2 linked regions of the Mytilus edulis genome follow. The protein of the gene in region 2 purifies or fractionates together with the protein of the main gene of each other region. This does not show direct contact. Links are inferred from orthologs where the notes say so. Each region holds a gene or a part of one and is shown on either strand. Other genes may lie near its edges.

Evidence for each region.
Region 1: the proteins of gigaxonin-like (region 2) and nudC domain-containing protein 3-like purify together in Homo sapiens (co-immunoprecipitation; 3 studies listed by BioGRID and IntAct, counting the BioPlex papers as one, with this or other methods). This does not show direct contact. The link is inferred for Mytilus edulis from reciprocal best matches to the Homo sapiens genes GAN and NUDCD3.

What each region holds. Positions count from the first base shown.
Region 1 is NC_092352.1:85,868,198-85,875,684, reverse strand, and holds the start of nudC domain-containing protein 3-like, read left to right. Parts: upstream 1-4,460; 5' UTR 4,461-4,553; coding exon 4,554-4,660; intron 4,661-7,487.
Region 2 is NC_092348.1:15,388,132-15,395,629, reverse strand, and holds the start of gigaxonin-like, read right to left. Parts: upstream 3,047-7,498; 5' UTR 2,959-3,046; coding exon 2,768-2,958; intron 1-2,767. UniProt on the Homo sapiens protein: Probable cytoskeletal component that directly or indirectly plays an important role in neurofilament architecture.

The DNA of each region.
Region 1 (7,487 bases), on a different chromosome or scaffold from region 2:
TAGCCGAAGAGATCGACGCACAAAGTGACGTCACATTTGAATTTCTAAAAAATAAAAGGGATAGAATTAGGATAGAATTCAAAAAGTAAAATCACAAAAATACTGAACCTAGAGGAAAATTAATTTGGAAAGTCCATAATCACATGGCAATTTCAAATAACAAAACGCATAAAAAACGAATGGACAAGAACTGTCATATACCTGACTTGGTACAGGCATTTTCAAATGTAGAAAATTGTGGATTATAGTGCTAACCCTTTCACTTTGATGACAGTCTCATCAAATTTCGTTATATTTACATTGATGCGCTAACTATTAAACAGACACAATAAATAAATAGTTAAAATATGGGTACATCAGTCATCATCGTATAACAATTTTAAAATGGACAATTTAACAGAACACAAAAACTTCTATCTACAAACACATTCATTGATTTGTGTGTCTGACGTCAGAAAATTTTATACGTCACATAAATTTGTCGTTCAATGTGCATGCAAACAATTTTCAAACAAAATTTTAAAATTTACATAGGCAATGTTAGCATATAGGGTTAAAAAACAAAAGTTTTTAAGAATAAATATCAGAAATAGACCGAGATTGAAAATAGTCCAAAAGTTATGTATAGAATTTATAAAAATCCACAAATAGTTAATTCCACTATCAGTCATCATCGTATAACAATTTTAAAGGAACTATTTAACAGAAAACTGTAGCAGGAACAATTCTGCTGAAGATTCGGGGATGCGGACCACAGCTTGGTCTGGTTTGTGAATTTAATTGTACGGAAACGACTGATGCCAAATGTAATGCGCTAAAGTATATCTGAGTAAATAAAAACCAAAAACAGTGAAAACAATATATAATTTAATCAACAAAGTACAACTTTTATTATGTAGAGCCAAATGTATGAAGAAATGGAGCATTCAATTATTTCATATTACCCGGGCTGTGGAGGTATGTAGCTAACGCACTAACCTTAACGGTAGTTGGAAAGTTTAGCTTTCCTTGGTTGGACTGACAATCAGTCCTCAGAATATTCGACACAATAATCAAATACCAGTTATATAAAATATATTTATATATAAATTTCTCACAGAAGGTAACCAAAGATTTTGCAACGATGCAAATATCAAACTTTACAATACAAATAAATATCTTTAACCAATGAATTCAAATAGCAAAAGCTATGCGATTTAACAAATATGTACTGAATAAGCTTCATGTAAATCCTTAAATAAAGAAATATGAAATTTATAGTTTTAAAAAAGGGAAATAATAATAACATAATAATCCCAACTGCCACAAAACAAAAACAGCTATCTACAAACACATTCATTGATTTGAGTGTCTGACGTCAGAAAATTTTATACGTCACATAAATATTTCGTTCAATGTGCATGCAAATAATTTTAAGATTTACATAGGCAATGTTAGCATATAGGGTTAAAAAATCAAAAGTATGTAAGATATGGTGTGTAATACTGCTATAGCATTTATTATTTACAATGAAAATTACAATGCTTATAAATATAAAATTGTAACAAAGCATATTTTCAAGGGCTTTAAATTAAAGCAACAGTTACGGTAGTTTATCGATGTTTAAATATCCTAAATCGATCAAGAAGAGGCAAATTAAGGTAAAACACAAAAAGGGGGAATCCGATATACTAAGAATATAACTGATCAAGACCGTGTCAGTGAACAGGGTAAACACCTCCTGCTATGCATGCATCGCCCACCATGCACGTATGTATACACTGTCAAAATGTCATAACCGGAAAATTACAAAACGACTATATACTGGTATCTAGTTTCTAAAACTCACAAAATCTGAATTCCTCAATTTACATCTAAAATTTCTCGTGAACATCCAAGGTCTAAAAGCGCAGGAAAAGGAATGAAGAAATGGGACATTTAAAACAAACAAGTCGAAAAACATTAAAAAGAAAACTTGCGCCTGAGCAGCACGAATCCTTACCAAAAACCGAGGGTGATTATCCGGCATCAGATTATTAGGACCGGTCCACATGTGGAACCCATCGTGTTGCTCGTGTAGTAAGTCAGCAAAATATATAAATGTCACAATCGAAATAAAAGAGGACATAGCTGTATTTTCGACTATTGGAACAATAAGTTGTCATGTTACCAAATTGTCAACCAGCTGATGGTGTCCACAAAATTCTATGTTATTTAATTGGTTATCAAAGGTACCAGGATTATAATTTAGTACGCCAGACGCGCGTTTCGTCTACATAAGACTCATCAGTGACGCTCATATCAAAATATTTATAAAGCCAAACAAGTACAAAGTTGAAGAGCATTGAGGATCAAAAATTCCAAAAAGTTGTGCCAAATACGGCTAAAGTGATCTGTAACTGGGATTAGCACTCTTCTATAAAGACAGTCACTACCATCGTTCCATTTGTTATGAGGCCTGAATTTACAAAATTTTTGTATTGAAGAACACCATGAAATCGAAATGTAGAGGTCTTGAAATATTTGAAGTCAAATTATCATGGTAGTTTTACTGAGTCAGGAATATGACAATTGTTGACAATCGTTTGATGGGTTTGAGCTTTTGATTTTGCTATTTGATTATTAAAGGACTTTGCGTTTTGAATTTTCCTCTGAACGCAGTATTTTGGTGATTTTAATTTTTCCCACTTCCCACACACCTGAGACTACTATTATAGATTATAGTAGTCTCAGCACATCCCTTGCAATTCTATGTCTCATTGTTCTATTTATCTAACCTACTGATTATTCACTCACCCAATTCATCAATTGCAACTATTCATAATAGCTCTACTGCAAGGCCAGATTATCTCATACACCGACATTCTGCCTCTCTCACTCTCCCATTAACACTGTCTCTCACTCATTCACGAACACATTCGGCAAAACACTTGCACAGGCATTTTTTTTATTTGCAACCACCCACATATTCAATTGTCAATCTTTCATTATTCCACTTTCCCAGTTAATCTCTTGCCCAACTTTCTAACAATTAAAATGGCTATAAAAATACAAAAGTTCTACTCCCTCAGGACAGTCCATCGGATAGGACACAACATTCTAACATTTTCTAAGAACGGTTGGTATCCATCCATTCCGTTTTACTGTACTTGAACTGAATGAATTTATGAATGCCCATGCTACATCGATCTTTAAAGACCGATTACATGTGTGCCAATCAGCTGTCCTATACTTCCAGGATAAATACGTGGTTGTCCCCGCATATAAAACCGTAAAGAGTTAAAGTAAATAAAATGACAATTCACATGGAAATCAATATATTCCCGTGACACTCGACTAGTTGGAAATTCTGATTAATCATAGATCTTTCTATAGAAATTTCAATCAAAGACTAATAATTAACTGGATCTTCTTTTACTGTATTGAATACGTTAAGAATATACGGTGAGGTTTTGGAATTTGTGTCAAATGTTCGGACTCCTTGGGTTTTTTTCTTTACAATACAATGGAAAATATTTTGCCCCATAACACTCACTTATTTTTTCATATAAGACTAAATAGCTGATGAAAGGTCATTTAGCAAAATTTTAAAAGATTCTTGATTTTCTTTCTTTTGTTTGAGACCCAAATAATACCAATGCAAATATAAGGTAAAAGTCTGAGTCAGCCTTTTCCCGACATATTCTAAATCTCAAATCAGTGGCGGATCCAGAACTTTTCATAAGGGGGGCCCGCTGACTGACCTAAGAGGGGGGGGCTCCAGTCATGCTTCAGTGATTCCCTATATAATCAACCAAATTTTTCCCACAAGGGGGGGGGGGGGGGGGGCGGGGGGGCATGATCCGCCTATGCAAATATCTCGAAAAGGAGGTCCATGACCTATCCAGGTTCCAGATAATGTATGATATTCAACAAACTTATCATATAATTTGTCTTGTCTTGATAATATCAAATAATTTAATTTTGGATGTAACGCGTCTTCTGATTGGCTGACGTTATTTTTTTATCAGCCCATAGACATAATTTAGTCATGTAACCGTGAAGTCATCAACGTTTTTTCATGGTTTTCGAAATAACATAAAATAAAATGTAGAGCACACTGTTAAATAACCCGCTACGCGCGTTATTCACCAAATTTTTTATGTTATTTCTTCATAGACAGAAAAAGTATTACAGTCATTCCTTAAATAATTTCAGTACTGAAATATCCATCTTTACTAGTCACTCATTACATAGTACATAAAGTAACTGTCGATGTTTTCAGGGGCGGATGCAGGAATTTTCGAAAGGGGGGGGGTGCTAACCCAGGGCACCCAGGGCAAAGGGGGGTGCAAAACATATGTCCCGATACAAATGCATTGATCGGCAAAAATAAAGGGGGGTGCGCACCCCCGGAACCCCCCCCCCCCCCCCCACCCCTGGATCCGCCACTGGTTTTGAAGTGATCCATGGTTACTTACGAGTGCTCCTTTTAGGAGGAACGTATATGGAACAATAACAATGACCGTTGATACACGGGTGTCTTTCCCCGTTAGTGTGTTGTCCGTTAAAAAATAAAAATAAGACGAATTACGATGGACGATAAAAACCAACAATATGATAACCTTTTGATTGGAATTCTTCAAAATGAAGGCAATATTTCTGGATTTCTTGACGCGGTATTTGGTTTTTTGTTTAGAAGGTTTGCATAAATATTTTTTTTTATCTTTTTGGCAACATCATATAACACAGGCACTTGTTTCCTTGCTTCTATCCATAGGAAGGTCGATTATGGATAGTGGACCTTCCTATGGGTAGAAACAAGTGCCTGTGCATCATAGCCTGCATAAGTATAGCAATCACTTTTCAGTTCATTTGCAGATCTGATCAGGAGCTCTTGTGGTTTGTTTTTGACAATTTGCAGTCCATACATGTAGTTCTTAAATAACTAGTTAAAATACTCAAATTGTCAAAAAAAAAATATAATAAATTTTGGGCAAAGAGCTACAGAAGGAAGAAACACTTAAAAAAAATGCATATGATTCAATATGATTTTGTGGTTATTCAACATTAAATTGATTAATAATATTTTTTTTCAATCTGTTCAAAATAAATACTAATCTACAATGTACATGATCTAATCATAAAAAGTTTGATTTAAAAAAAAAAAAGTATTGTTCCTGTCAAAATTTGCAATTTTTAGTTTTTGTTTAGTTATAGAATACTTAAATGACTTATAAGAAGGCATACATATATAAACATGGTGACATCCCATTAGTCCGACAGCCATTATTACGACAGCCCTTTACTCCGACAGCCCACTATTCCGACAGCCCATTACTCCGACAGCCTATTATTCCGACAACCCATTACCCTGAAAGCCCATTATTTCGACAATGCATTTTTCTTATGTGTATGGGTAAATTTTCTCTAAAAAGACCAACTCCGTTCTCTATGATATGTGTGGTTGTCCGTCTTGATTACAATTATTCTTTTCATGCGGGATATTTGTCTCAGTATATTGGAGTTGATACACATGCTTATAGCAACTGCTCAGTCCTTACCCTCGTCCCACTTTCGTTTTACATGTCTAGGTACTTTATTTATATTTATATTTCGTTGTTTGTGTGTCACAACCGTCTGTGCTGTTCTAGTTCGCTATTTTTTGCATGTTCGTCTTGGTCTACCTTCTTTAACTAGATCTTCGGTTTCTGCTTTTCATGTATCAGGGGAGTGAGGTTTCCCCCACTATTAACAGTCAGGGGACTTACTGAAATAAGTGATTTTTAAATCACTTGTTTGAGTAGCAAATTCGAAGTTTTGTCACAAATTGTGATTTTGTAGTTTTACCAAAATTTTAAACACATAGGTTTAAAAAATATCTTTTCATTAGTAAAATTGAAAAAAAATATGTATTTTTTCCTTCTTTTAAGTATCAAGGTTTATGCCTTTGATGCTTTCATTTAGCTGCAAATTCTATTTTAGTTGAAAAAATACTATAATAATGGCTTTACATAATGAACTGATACTTTCTTAACAGATTTTTCCCAGGAGTGGGAGTATTTTTCCTGTAAAGTTCAAGGTTTTATCTTTCAGATTATGTAATAAAATTCTACTGTTCCCAATAAAAATTTCACTGTTCAGGGGTGTTGAAATTAGTGGGGGTTGTATAAAACAATGATACTTAAAAAAGTGATTTTTGGGAAGGAAATTGAGGTATGATACTTAAACAAGTGATTTTTATGTCATTATGTAGATTCAGTACAAGGTCATCACCTGAAATGACCTGGTCATCCTAGACAACACAGATGTTGGTTCTGATAAGTTTAGAAACATAATTAGTCCCTGGATCATTAGTATTCTATATTTAAAGCTACAGTAAAATTAAATCACTTCTTCTAGTGATTATTTTGTACTACTTAATTAGGTGATTATTAAAGAAAGACAACTCTTACTTTCAACCTTTATGGAAATAATGTTACTTGAATCAGTGATTTAGAAAATCACTCATTTAAGTAAGTCCCCTGACTGATTAACTACATAAATGAATATATCGGAGTTGGATAACACTATCCGCCCTCTTTGGTTGCAACACTTTCTCTCCTTGTATAACGCATCTGAGTTTTATTTAAATTAATTTTGTAGCAGAAATAACGGACTAATGTAGCGTCAGTCAGTCTGTCAGTCAAAATGGGAAAAACAAAGAGACAAATACATAACCAGATCTGTAAAAATAAGAATACAAACAGGACAAAATATGTGCTCAGAAAAGATGAGCAATTCCAATTAAATGTATGAATACGGTAACATGTTCGGGAATGTGAATCCACGATATACGGAGATACAATGTAGTGCACAGCACTTCCAATAGCGATTGATCAGACATAGTCTGGGAGATGAAACTCAATATATTTGTAGGGATACCGATTTTATACCCTGAGCTTATTTTGAAATCTAGAAAAATATGTCTCTTTTATTATGGTTGGTGGAGATGCAGGAATGATGATTTACAACAAAACTTATTACGAAAAACAAATATGACGGACATGAATATTTCGGCAACTTCTATCTAAATATTTATAAGGAAAAGTGATATCGGGTCAGTGAAATTCAATGTACATGTATATGTCATAGAAATATACAGTCAACGCATTTTGACTGCTCAAATCGAATGAGTACAGTATAAAAGCCAAAAACAAACTAGTAAAAAATCTAAGATAATGTGTGACATTCTTGTACCTCTTGTCTTTGACAAATTGTCTAATTTTAAAAACTTAGTACATTATGTGTTTTGTTGGAAACTTGACACTTGTTTTTCTTTTGAAGATTGTTTTCAAGAAGAAAGAAATGTTTAGATATTATTGATTTTAAGAAAGGTAGTTCATATCTTAATTCAGAATCGGTGCTCTTCCATTACATTAAGAATTGAAAATGCTAGATACTAAAAAAATTGTATTGTACAGCTGATAAAGTTGAGGATGAGCGTCATTTTTCAATCCAATGCTCACTTCATAATAATTTGAGGGAGG
Region 2 (7,498 bases):
ATCAGGGCGAACGATCCCGATACCACCATGGTATAAGGAAAAAGATGTCATCCTTATTATACCTCAACACAGTTATTTCTATTAGTTTATTTGACACTTCAGTCATGTAGTATTTTAATGTATGGTTGAAAACACTGCATTTTGCACTAAGGAAATTTGTAATTTTGGAAAGTACTTATTTTATGTCATTGTGCATGATGTGTTTAAGTACAGAAACACTGAGTAACAATCATGACAATATTTAAGACATATATTTATATTACATATATATATTTTTTTGAAACTCACAAACTGTATAGCATGTGACTAAAATTTCTGACGCTTGTCATCTTTTTATTTTTGTTAATGTTGTAGGGTCACAGAACCACTAATTTTGCCCCAGTTGGTAATAACATGCAAGAAAGTGGTACATATTTTTTAACAAAATACAAAAGTCATGTAGTTCCTATGCATAGCTGTATCTTTGTCAATAGGTTAACTATTCAAGTAGTTTTTGGTATCAAAAGAAGTAATGCCTATTTTTTGGGACTTGAAAAGCAAAGGCAAATTAAGAAATCGATAAATAAGTTATTAGATGAAAAAAAACATCTTTAATTTTGGACCCTGATTTGGACCAACTTGAAAACTGGGTCCATAATCAAAAATCTAAATACATGTTTAGATTCAACATCAAGGAACCCCAAAAATTCAATTTTTTGTTAAACTAAGTGTCTTCAGAAGACGCGGCCAACGATAACATGATACCAATATAAGACCTAGTCTCATGGGTATTAGAGCTGTTAAAATGCATAGTGGCGTCACACTTTCCATTGAAAAAGCATGTATACTGTTACATGTAGTACGAAGCCATATGACATCAAAAGCGTAGGATCTGACCATACATGTATCATCGTCTCATGGGTTTTCGTTATATTAAGAGTGCCTTATGACATCACCATTTCCATTGAAAAAGCATGCATGGTACGAAAATATATGCCGTGTGAAAACATATGATCTGACCATATATCATGTACAAAAAATGTATATTCAATAAATTTAGTATGGGTGCCAATTAACCAGGTGCAAATTTGACTTTACCAGTCCTGATTTGACTAAAATTCAGGCTGACTAACGGTATTTATATGACTTATATGTTCCTAAATGCCATCTATAGTACTTTAGCATGTTTAACTGACATGACTCAAGAAGACTCTAGATAGTATATACAGTCTAGTCACCTAATTTCGTGGATACACAAGTTCGTGGACTTCCGGAAATCCTAAATATCTCGCATGCGTGTTATTGTTATGACGTCATCAATGGCATGATTTGATTGCTATAGGATATCCCTACAACAACAACTTACAAAAATGAATCGCGACGTTTCAAGCAAGGTAAGACTTATTACTTATTTATTTAATAAACAAAATGGCTGATTTTACTTATTTCTTTATTTGTCTTATTTCCAACGACCTCAATAACTTTATTCCCAAGCTATAATCCCAAATCCACGTGTTGTTTGATTACGCTACTTTCTAATGAACAATATCACATGATAAACAAGGAGATTCCCTGTCAGCCAAAAAAATCTATGGAACGCAATCAGTGTCATATTCTTATATGTTTTAGATGAATTTTAACAATAAAAGATGACTTTTGGTTAATCAAATGAACTTCAAAAAGGAGTTATTTAGCACAATTCTTGTAAATTAAGTTCAACTAACGTCGATAACTGAGTTTTAAAAAGGATTTGTATAAACAGTTTTAACTAATGGTGTATTTATTTGTTTTGTTTGAAAAAAAAATAGAAGATTTTTGTATCACAAAATAATTAATTTTCATTTTTTATTATTTACAGGTTCAACTTAAATGGCAGAAAAATAAGCAGAAAGAAACTGAAAATAGCAATTATGATATATACATTTGTAAATTATTGGACTGCTTTCAGTTTTATTTATATTTACCATTTACTATTGACAGTTCTGTATTAACAGTTGGACTACTTTTGAGTAGTGAACATTTGCTTGATTTTAATAAATGTGAACTTTATCTTCTGGGGGGGAAATAATCATGATTCCAAAGGGAAAAAATGACTAAACTGTAGCCTAAGATTATTTTTTTTATATAATTAATGGGAAGTAAAATAACTTTTAAATCTGTTACTTATAATTATTTTAATAATATTTAAAAAGTTGAAAAAAAAATCATTTGGTGTTTCAATTTTTTTATTTTTTTTAAAGATTTTCAGGCTCAATAAAATAAAATAAAATACTTTGTCTTTAAACAATGTTTTATTTAGTTTCACTGATCTGAAAATGTACAAAAATATGCTTGTATGAAATTACAATTATATGCTCACCACTGGGCTTCCATACTGTGTGTTCTTCTTGTGTTATTTTTAGAACGAACTTTTCCCACGAAAATAGGTGACGTACTTGGCATCATATGCCGATTTGTGTACACTAGAAATGTAGGTCATATAAAAAAAACTAGCTAACGGTAAGAATCAAACTAACTTGTATTATTTTAATGAAGTTCTAAGGTAACATTATGGACATATAAAACAAATTGTTGTTTTTTAGTTTTACCGCATTCCGTGTGAATAGTCTTATATCCACGAATATAGGTCACTACCGTACTATAGTGAAGTGACTATACATGCATGAGGAGTTGTTAAAAGACGACTCAAACCCAATTATTCCTGTGTGTTCTGTAAATAGCAGACAAATGCTTAGTTATTCTCAGGAATGTTGGGGAGATTCAGATACAAATTTATACAAAATAGTACCGAAAATAGTGACTTGCTGCAGCAAGAACATTCTTTTGGACAGGTATTTTTGAACCATTTAAAACAACAGTGCCATCACAAAAGCGTAGTAGCCTTCTATTTTCATTTAAAGCTGTTAAAATTTTCTTTGCATGACGGTCAGTTGAAAAGCTTTGTGGAGTTGTCGTCGAAGTTCCAGCTTCGACATCCATCTCTCAGCTGTTACAGTACAAAGCTGGTTTCATAATATTAGAGACGATTGACTTTCTTCGACAATCCGCTTTTAATCAACCGAAAACCAGTTTTAGGTTTTTCTACAGTAAAGTGATGATCCTCTTATTTTACGATTTTTTTTCATTTTTTTTTTTACATTTTAGATTTTAAGGTAGTTCAGGGGTATAGAAAAACAATGACAGAATTTTCTTATACTTGTGGCAGTTAGGATTATTATGTTAGTATTATTTCCCTTGTTTAAAACTATAAATTTCATATTCTCAGATCCGGACATCCTGGCATTAAAATTTTTCAAGGGGTGATGCAGATAGGATTCCTCTAGATTTTTCATCTATTTGAAGGTGATAACTGATTATTTATATTGTTGATTATTTTTTAACCAGAGGATATAGTATGATAAAAATCAAAATGGAGATATTATATAGTGTCTTTAAAAACATTAAGTGGGTAAAATTACTAGATTCAACTGGTGTCAATATATATCAATTAAATTAATTTGCATTGAAGTCTATGGAAAATCAAGAGGATTCTTATCTGCATCACCTCTCAACATTGTTTATATAACACAAATTCTAATCATTGATTGGTCAGTTACATGTTGTGATGTCACTGCAGATCTGAGAATTTCCTTATTTAATGATTTACATGAAGCTTATTCAGTATATCAAGGATTTGTATAGTAAGTTACTATACAAATCCTTGAGTATATCTATAATACTAAAATTACGAGGTCCAATTTGTCAGACGTCATCGGGTAAAAACGACAAATCAAAGAATTCAACTCTATATAGAACTAATATAGGACAATGGTGTAGATTAAAAATTACACCACTCCAGACCCTTTTGTTTTCCACATAATTAATATTGCCAATAATTAACAAGTTCCGGGTCGAATCCGATACCAATAGTATATTCACCTGTTGGCTATTACCTTATCTGTACGTTCCGCATTTGACAGGCGCACCACCAAACGGTGTATTTAGGATTTTGTTATATACACGGGTCATAATCAAAAGGCTGACACTACTAAATTCAATCATTGTCAAATTGTTCTCTATTGTAGTTTTATTCAGCAATCAGCAAGACTTTCTAAGATAACTAACGCGATATCACGGGTGTGTACTTGTATTTGTTAAATTGCAAAGATTTTGGTATTTGAATTAATTGGTTATGCGGGGTTCACACATTGCCGATTATTGCTCCCGTTTGAGATCAGACAGCGATACGGCACGAAAAGTGAAAAAGTCGGATTAGTATCCTCAATTATCTGGAATGTCCTATTATTGTCTGAACGCAGTCGTTTTAGTTCGTAACAGATTCCTACTGGTCGGGAAGGGTCCGAATAGTTCGGCAAAGCACCCCGACAGTTAGGTGCGTCCCGTAACATTCGGGGAAACTCAGCCGATTTTGTCTAGTCAGATTACAATCGTGCCTATGTCGTGACAGATTCTGCTGTATCGGATCGAATTCCTAACAATGTTCTGTGTATTCCGGACGGTGTCCTGTGGAACGGGAATGATCTGGAGAAGTCCCGACAATAACAGAATACAATACGACTGAGACCAGACAAAGCCGTTTGCAATGCGATAGAGCGGACCGTGATAGGATTACGTTCCGACAGTACCTGATCATCCCGATTATGCCGACAGTTTTCGAACGGATAACTCCCGTAAGCGTCGGTTCACTGTCTTGTCACTATCTGATCTCTGTCGGATTACATTCGGTAGAATCGGGACGCAGTCGTGACAGACTCGGTCGAATTTTACCTGGCGAAAGATACAAATCGAATGTCCATCCACGATTCACAGGATCTTGATCAGACTTTTGACAAATTTTAATCGGGAATGGTCCTGTCAAGGACGGCAGTAAAAATCGTGAATGTGTGACCCCAGCTTAAAAGATATTTATTTATATTGTAAAGTTTAATATTTGCATCGTCGCAAAACCTTTGATTACCTTCTGCGAAAGACTTATATATTTTAGATAATTGATTTGAAATTATTATGTTGAATCCTCTGAGGACTGACATTCAGTCCAACCAAGGAAAGCCAGGCTTTCCAACCAAGTATCCATTAGGTTAGTGCATTTGCTACATGCCTCCTTAGTATGGTAATTTGAAATCATATTGAATGCTCCATTTCTACACTTTTGGCTTTACATAATAAAAGTTGTACTTTGTTAATTAAATTATATATTGTTTTCAGTTTTTGGTTTCATTTACTTACATTGTAGATATATCATAGTGCATCACTTTTGACATCAGGCGTTTTCCGCACACATCAGTTTACAAACTAGAATTAGCTGTGGTCCGCATCCCCGAATCTTAGGCAGAATTGTTCCTGCTACATACTTTTTGCCAAAATGAAGATTTTATTATGTTTTTTTTCTCAAATAAATGATAAAAAGTACGGGTTCCCACGCTTTCTTTAAAATAAAATATGAGAAGATAGCTTTTATAATATATTTTAAGAAAATAAAATAAAAAATGGTGTCACAAAACTTGTTTTCTTGCTATAAGTAAAACATAAAATTTCCCTATATGTCCAGTGTAAATTTTGTACTTTTAAAAATAGTTATCTCCCCTTAAATGGAGTTATTTGAAAAATGAATTCTAAAACCACAAATATTTGGTATTTGTTTAAATATTTTCTAAAATGTTTTGAATTACTAAGTTTTCTTTACATAAATAAACAGTTTAACCAATACATTGCAAATCTGTCTCCAAATTTGCAGATTTCGGCAAAGAACTAGAACTATTGTTTCTGTGATTGTACCGTGAATTCAAGATGGCGGTAGACCCCTGGTACTCGCTTCGGCAGTACATATACTAATACCGACCGTGCAAGGGCTGTTTAGCCAGTCAATGTCGTTAAAAACTTCCATTTGTTTGTTCTGTCTAAATACCGACCGTGCAAGGGCTGTATATATGTCACTGAAGCTATATATTAGAGTACATGGTGTAATGGTTAGCACTCTGGACTCTGAATCCAGCGATCCGAGTTCAGATCTCGGTGGAACCTCCAAATCAATATAATCAACCAAATTTTTTTCCAGGAAAGGGGGGCGGGTCCCCTCTAGATCCGCCTCTGCACCACGTTACACGTACATTTTTCAATGAGTTTAGTTTAAAAATACAATATTTCATCCTGTTTTACTCTTAATTTGTCCTCTTGTCGCTTCTTGCTATTTTGTATATACGAATATCACATTTCCGGTGACGTTTCTCCACATGCAATTGTTTTCGTTGCAAGAAACGTCAGAAGAAAGAAAAGGTTGCCGTAAGAGTGACATGTAATCTACACTTCAGTATTATAAACTTCTTGGACCCGACGTGACTTGAACCTTTTAGTTTAGAGTTTAACAGTTAAAGCAAATCGAAGACAAGACACGTTTATGTAAACCTAGGTGATTATCAATTGCATAAGGATTATCTGGGCTGTATATGCACGCCTGGTCATGTTCTATAAAATTACATATCATCTCATTGCAATCACAAAAACATACAGATTAATTCAACCGCTCAGACAGTCCAGGAACATGCACACACTCTCATACCAAATTCCATCCTGCAGAACACAAATAAGACAACAATCATTTTTCCCACGCACAATTAAAATCTGGAACAGCCTTCCCCTGAGTATTGTTATGAGCGACTCTATAGAGTCGTTCAAAGTAGCCGTCTCAAACTACACCTACAGCCCATAAATTCATCATGTGTAAATAGTTTTATCTTAATATTTTAAAAATAATAAATTAAAAATATGCACTACCACTATGTAAAAATTTTTTGTTTTGTTTATTATCACAAATTTGTATATTTCACTGTATATATGTCTTCACAAAGCAATGCGCAGTACAAGTGACGTAAACTTCAACGTGTTGAAGGCGGTCATTACATAGTAGAAGTAGAAGTAGAAGAAGTATATCTTTGTTTTGATTCCATGTGAAAGCTCAGATAAATGACAGATCATGTTCAGTTCAGTTTCTTGTATATTCCTCCATTAATTGTGGAGCACTACCCAAAGGGTATAGTTTTAGCAACTATGTACACCTTAAAACATAAGGAAACAAATAATTATATACAGATGACTGAATTTGGTTATAATAATCACTAAATGATAAATATCATAATTAATTCAATGGATTGTCATCATAAAGTTTTAAAAGATATATAATAATTCATATGTGCTGGGTTGTAAGAAAATTTTAAGAGACAACTGCATATATTTACAAATAAGAATTAAAATGGTCTCAAATTAAAATTACTTATAATTATTAGTTAAGAGTGCTATAAATACATCAGGAACTATAATGAAAATTATATTTTATAAGACTTATGTAAAATGGTAGGGGTTTGGAAAAATTTGAGCTAATATATATACATAAATTTTCTTCACAGTTTATTTTACTATATGGGGATCTTGTCATTATTCTTTAAATTATAACTGATATCTTACAATTTTAAAAAGAGAAGATTTATTTTAAATACATGTACTTATAAGTCATAAAATAGTAAGA